Caenorhabditis elegans: one gene and its partner. The protein of the gene in region 2 purifies or fractionates together with the protein of the main gene of each other region. This does not show direct contact. Each region holds a gene or a part of one and is shown on either strand. Other genes may lie near its edges.

Evidence for each region.
Region 1: the proteins of F37A4.2 (region 2) and snr-3 fractionate together in Caenorhabditis elegans (co-fractionation; one large-scale study listed by BioGRID). This does not show direct contact.

Annotation. Positions count from the first base shown.
Region 1 is NC_003280.10:6,488,331-6,491,605, reverse strand, and holds snr-3 (putative small nuclear ribonucleoprotein Sm D1), read left to right. Parts: upstream 1-1,844; 5' UTR 1,845-1,852; coding exon 1,853-1,931; intron 1,932-2,145; coding exon 2,146-2,250; intron 2,251-2,295; coding exon 2,296-2,397; intron 2,398-2,444; coding exon 2,445-2,539; 3' UTR 2,540-2,775; downstream 2,776-3,275. Other genes in the region: rsp-5 (putative splicing factor, arginine/serine-rich 5), read right to left, coding at 388-495, 541-619, 947-1,198, 1,250-1,437; plpp-1.2 (Phosphatidic acid phosphatase type 2/haloperoxidase domain-containing protein), read right to left, coding at 2,856-2,974, 3,020-3,119, 3,170-3,275. UniProt on the Caenorhabditis elegans protein: Plays a role in pre-mRNA splicing as a core component of the spliceosomal U1, U2, U4 and U5 small nuclear ribonucleoproteins (snRNPs), the building blocks of the spliceosome.
Region 2 is NC_003281.10:6,720,459-6,723,935, forward strand, and holds F37A4.2 (PRKRIP1 family protein), read left to right. Parts: upstream 1-1,995; 5' UTR 1,996-2,097; coding exon 2,098-2,193; intron 2,194-2,244; coding exon 2,245-2,369; intron 2,370-2,417; coding exon 2,418-2,766; 3' UTR 2,767-2,825; downstream 2,826-3,477. Other genes in the region: bath-41 (BTB and MATH domain-containing protein 41), read right to left, coding at 191-322, 372-543, 590-884, 934-1,126, 1,176-1,327, 1,394-1,494, 1,543-1,698, 1,744-1,799; F37A4.1 (alpha/beta hydrolase), read left to right, coding at 2,946-3,063, 3,110-3,321, 3,366-3,477.

The DNA of each region.
Region 1 (3,275 bases), on a different chromosome or scaffold from region 2:
TTTGTTTAGAAAACTCGAAAATTTGCGTTCTATTTCAATATATGAGTATAAAAATTAGCTCGAAAATCTCGTAAAAGGTTTTTTCTAATAATAATGACTATAAAAAGTACAACGGCAATTTCCAGAACAGTAAAAATAACAAAGCAGTAAATTAGCCCAAAATTGCGTTCGACCTTCAAATTCCCCAATATTGTACAGTAGTTGAAGTAATCGTGGTGAGACCTGTGTGAATAATACCATGTGCCTTTAAATATTTTTAAAAAATGAAGGAAGTCTCCGCTCGGTTTTATTCGGGAATTATTAAAATCAGAACAGCTCTGAGGATGAACAAATATTATAAAATAGAAGTGGTAAATGAACAACAGTAAACGGTATAAAAACACAATTTTAATCCTTTGGAGATCCTGGAGACGGAGAGCGAGACACACTGCGATTGCTGCCATCTCGGCTGTGACTTCTTCCACGGCTCACGCTGCGCTTTCTATCTCCGCCGTTCTGAAACCATATGATTTTTACTATACAAGCACATAAATGAATTACCTTTGGGGGAGATCCACTTCGGGTTCTGCTTCGATCTTTTGCTGGCAGTGGTGAACGAGATCTCGACGCTTCACGCTTCCTAAAATATAATTCTTGCATTTAATAGAGTCGGAATCTAAAGGACTCGAATACGAAACCGATATGTTTGCGCGAAGTTGTCTGATTCAAAGTTAGGGATCTCACTCTTTTAATCGAAACAGCGGCTTTTGGTAACTGTGGGGACTGAACGAGAAGTGAATTGAAATGTATTGATAGTTGACCCATACTGTGCTCGAACTGTCTCAGCTATGTGTATGCCATTGCGATGTGGGCTTGTAGGTGATATTGATTTCTCATTGAACTGTGGCTAAAACGGTTCGTGATGTGGCACCCTTCCAAAACAATCCACACATTAAAGTTAACTTACAAGTCTCTTTTCGGGCTCGGCGAACGGGATTCGCTTCTGCGACGACTTTCACGAACTGGTGATCTGGATCTGGAGGAGCTTCTGGAACGGGATCTGCGAGAACGTTTGCGATCACGAGAGCGGGAACGTCTTCTTGGTGGAGTACGTGAACGACGTCTAGGAGAGCGGGAACGTCGTCGTGGTGATCTCGATCCATGACGGTCATTGCCGCGTGGTTTTCCGCGAGCCATTTCCACGACAAGGCGCATAGAGCTGAAAATAAAAAGTTAGAACATTTTTAATTTTGGTTTATTATTTTATTACCTTCCTTCCATGGTTTTTCCATCCAAATCATGGCATGCGTCTTCAGCATCACGAGAATCTTCAAAATCGACAAAGGCAAATCCATACTTCATTGAGATGTTATTAATTTTGCCATATCCTTTTAAGAATCGCTCAACGTCGCGTTCGCGTGCATTGTATGGAATTTTTCCTAGATAGAGGCGCGGCATTTCTGGAAAATCACTTTATATTCAAAAATTAATTTATTAAACGCCGTTCATTAAGCCCAGTAAAAAAAACACATGAATTCGAGAAATCAATCTCAATTTTAAGAAGAGAAAGTCCTAAGTCAAGAAAAAGAAATTCTATCAAAAGCGCACACATGAAAACGAGTGCGACCGTACTCCTAGTCGTTGCGAGACCACTTGGCATGCCGCCAAGTCTTTTGCATTTTCGAATGTGCTCAAAATGACTGGATTCCAGTCACTGGAAATCTGTTTTGAAACATTTTTCCTTGATGCAGATGTTTTTATTTGTCATAACCTCTTTCTTATCAGTTAAAAGTTATTTTTATCGTCGTATTTTCTATTGAATTCCATCGTTTCCTTTTATTCTTCTATAATTGTATGTATTTCAGGTAGAAAAATGAAGTTGGTCAGATTCCTGATGAAGTTGTCTCACGAGACCGTCAATATTGAATTGAAGAACGGTACTCAGGTGTCCGGTGAGTATTTTTTAAGATTAATTGTCTGCTTGAAAGTGTTTTAATCGAGAAGTTGAGTTATTAACCAACCAAAATCAATCTTTCACGAATTGCTCGACATTTGTTATAGTGTTTTTATATTAGGATACATTTTCAAAGTCATAAATCCGAATAATATTGTATAATTTTAATTACTGCAAAAACGTAACTAAACAACTAAATCGATTTTATTTAGGCACTATCATGGGAGTCGATGTTGCGATGAACACACATCTTCGTGCCGTCTCAATGACAGTTAAGAACAAGGAGCCAGTCAAACTCGACACGCTTTCAATCAGAGGTTATTAAAAATCATATTTGAATAAATATAATTTAAGATTTTCAGGTAACAACATCAGATACATCATTTTGCCGGATCCACTCGCTCTTGACACCCTTTTAATCGACGATGAACCAAGAAAGAAGGCCCGTGCCGCTCGCGCCGGAGGTAGCTTTAAGCGTCTTTTCGACAGATTATTAATATTTTTATTTCAGCTTCACGTGGACGTGGTCGTGGTGGAATGCGCGGAGGAAGAGGAGGTCGTGGTCGCGGACGCGGAGGACCACGCGGAGGCGGTCCACGTCGTTAAGCTATCATCGGGTCATAGCAAATTTGAGTATCGAACGTCCTATACTTTTGTATCACGTTCCTCAAGTTTAATTCACATTTTGTTCCCGTTAAAGTTGCTGACTTTTGTTTAAATCTTTTGAAATAATTTATTACGGCTTTCCGAGTCAACACAAATTTCCCAAGTTTCGCAGCCCGTGAGAACAACTGTACTTTATTTTGTTGTTACGTTCTGATCTCTATAAATTTCTTCAATTCAAGCATTAAGAGCAACAACATAAGGGCAAAAATTATTTATATTTAAAACAAAAAATTCGAATAAAAACAAGAAAATTGCATTATGCACTTTGCGGAACCGGCAACAAAATTGTATCCGAGTCCTGCGGTCCAGTAGCTTCAAAAACAATAGAACTATCCGTAGAAGGTAAAACTGCATCCAATCGATGTCGCTCCTCATCTGGAAAAAAATATGTAATTGAGTTAAAATTTACGATGGACCAACCTTCAGAGTTTCTGGGAGTACGGGGTGGTCGAGGAAGCAGAAGAGGTTGTGTTTCAGATTCAGTTGAATTGTTTGAGAACAAATCTGTCCAGAAGGTACACTGAAAGCAGAAAAAATGCGAAAGTTCCCAAACACTCATAATAATATTACAGTGTAAACAGCCAAGAATATTCCAATGAAAATTCCGACAAGAACATCGCTCCAATGATGCTTATTATCAGTGATTCTGGAGAAGCTAATTCCAAGTCCAATCATA
Region 2 (3,477 bases):
AAAACAAATCAAATCAATAAAACCAAATAAAAATTACACCCGAAATTGAATTCTTGAATTCAAGCGTTTTGTTTCAAAAATTTGAGATCAACTGATGAAAAAGGTAAAATACCAGCAAACAGAAGGATGAATAGATATGATTGAAGAGCAAACACATAATCAATTTGACATGAGATTTACAAAGATTCAATTAAGTTAGAGTGATGCGGTCAATGATTCGGCTGTCCATTGATGTGGTCGAAGGTGAATCAGTATTTGAGAAAGCATCTCGAAGTATTTTGATGGCCAATGGTGGTTTTGCAGATTCAAGTTCGTCCCATGCCTGAAATTGGTTGCTTGTTCGACGTAATTTCATTCTCTCATTAACTTACAGTTAACTTCATGCACTCATGTTTATGATTCGAGAAGAAATCCAGAAGCACGTCATAGGTATCATCAAGTCTTAGCTCTGCAGCCATACTAATACGAGTGAGCACATTATCGACAGTCACTTTTGAACCGATGAGCCGAGCCACTTCATCACGCAATGAATTTATCATTAGTCTGATAAAAAACAATACTAGAATGTTTTAATGTAAAAATATCCAACCTATCCATTGCAGATATAAGGTCCTCGGTTAGTTGATCCTCTTCGAGCTTCACAACTCGACCAGCAGCGGACGCGTACATATGGCGAAGCAAGACGTCAAGAGTGCGAGCAGAAATGTCATCAAACTGGAGACGCTTGGACATAAACTCCTTGGTTGAATGATTTCTCAGGAGAACTTTGAAGTATTCAGAACGTGCTGCCAGGATGCACATATGAGTTGGGAATTCACGACCACACGAAGCGACTATAATGAAGTCGCTAAATTCTCCGGTGGATAGAAACTCTGTGAATGCATCTGAAAGTGATTAAACAATGAAAATTTCCAAGCTGTTAAAATCACTAACCATGCGCAGACGATTCGTCGATCTTCAAACATTTTGTATTGGGAGACGATAGGGATCGAGATGTTGAAGAAGCGCTGTGAGTTCTTTGATATGGCTTGAACAGGCTTGAGATCTGTGTCGTACATTCACCGAAAATTGTGAGCTCACATCCAATTGTCAGAATATCGTTAGGAATGTAGACATTCATGGCACTCTGCATTAAAATAAAAAATTGAAGTTGAAAAAAAAACAATCCGACTTACCCTGAGAATGTCTAATGAAAAGAACTTGCTTGCAGTCACGATACCACTACGATTGATCGTAACAAGATTCTTATTGAGATGGCAACTTCTTGGACCGTCTGCTGTTTCGACTGTAAAGCTGACACGGAAACGGAGACGAGGATTAGGGCATTCTGGAAAGAATCTTCGTAAATAACATTTAATAACGAAAAATGAAACACTTAAAGTTCTCTACGTACTATTTATGAGCAGAAAAAGTGAAAGATATCCGGCGGTTTCTTCGTCTTTCCCATTCGGAAATAGTTTCATGACAAACTCATAATCCCCATCTCCAAATTTACTGAAAAATGTAAAACTGATTAATCTTAAACATATTATATTTGCTTACGGTGCCAGCATGAATTCTGCTGGATTGTGAAGCTCTAATTGTACCGTGAAGCGCTCAACGGACCAATAATTGGTAAAGCTTCTCTCATTCATAACCGTACGGCAGCCGGAAACAATGCTTGGACTTTTTCGTTTTTCGGACTTCCCAGACGGTGAGCTGAAAATTAAAAATTTTGGAGAAAAAGAGGTCGTCAGAACTTACCGTGACGGAATCGAAACAGCCGCATTTTCTGGTTGAGCCCCGTTATTGATTTCCATTCTGTAAGCTGATGATGAATTGAAGTTGACTTTGAAACTATAGAATAATGAAAAGTAAATATAATTATTTGATAAACTTTATATTTTAACTGATAATAAGCAACTTCCTATCTAGAAGTAGCTTCTAAGAAAGCCAAAACAAAAAAATTGGATTTTGAAACTGCAGTACGACGCTCCGAGATGACGCAGCGCGTGTAGTTTAGCGTGCCAATCTTTTCGATTTTTCGCGGATAAAACATAAAATTTCCCGGTTTTTTTGCACTAATTTCTTTTTTGATAATTTCTAGAAAATCTCATTATGCCACGAGATGATCCAATCACAGAAGAAGAGCGCCGAGCAAATTCCGCAACCGATTTAATTCGGATGAGACTGGCAAGATTGCAACAAAATATTGTAAGTTTAATTTAGCTAAAAATATAATAATTTTATTTGTTATAATTGCAGGACAAGCCCGCTCCAATTCCAATTAAAAAGGAGACACTGAGAGCGCCAAAAGAACCTTTGGAATTCGTGAGAAATGTCGTTGGTTCTTCAGCTGCTGCCGGAAGTGCTGAATTTCATATTTACAGGTTAGAAAAGTTATACTTTTAATTTGTCTTTTCATATCCAAATTTCAGAAACAACCGACGAAAAGAACAAAATCGACTTGACTACATTGATGCGGTAGCAAAAAAAGAAGAATTGGACGATGCCTACCGTCACAAAGTAGAAAAACTTGAAAAGGAAGAAGAATCAAAAACCGCGAAGAAGAGAGCAAAGCGATTAAGGCAAAAAGCTGCTGCTAAGAAGAGAAAATTGACAAAAAAGAATAATGAATCTGACGAGAGCTCATCAGATGATTCGGATTCAGACTCAGGATCAGGATCTGATAACGAATCTGAAGGAAAACAAAACACAGAAGTCGAAGACAAAGATAAAGTTGAGAAGGAAGAAACGGATGATGAAAAAACTGAAGTTTCTACTTGAAGTTTTTATTACGGAATAACTTATTTGTACATGTTTGATTTAATATAATTGTTTTTCTCAATTGATGTTTTTTTTTGTATCAAAATTCTGAAAAATGGTATATATGTCCATTACATTTTATATTGTCTTTTGTTAATTGTGTTTTCCCTATTTACATATTTCAGTAGCAACTAGTCGAAATGCCGTCCTTCTGGACGCAAATTTCGGGACCACGGCTTTATGGAATTTTTGGACAACCCAATCGACAGGAACCAACACTGGAAAATCTCGGAAACACCGTCATATCGTTTTCTGCAGGTTATATTATTTTATGAAGCATAACCTTTTCCAAACTTGTTTTTAGGAATTTACTACATTGCCAGTTCATTAGCTTTTGGCCCCGTAATATTATGTTACTTGTACAGTCGAGACTGGCTCACACCAGCTGGAATGCTGACAATTCTGAAATATGCCGGATATTTAACACTAATCGGTTATGGAGCAAGAACATTCGGTCGGCTCTTTGACGAAACAAACTCGAGATTTTTAGATATTTGGGAAAACGAAAAAAACAAGGTATCAGTTGAAATCTTTATGTTTATGTATTAATTACGTTTCAGAAGGATGACAACAGTCATGCAGCACTAAAGAAGTACGACTTTGAACTTCTAGACGTGATTCCCGATTTTGTAGCTCGCCCCAATTCGGATTTATGGCATTTAAAACCAGAAG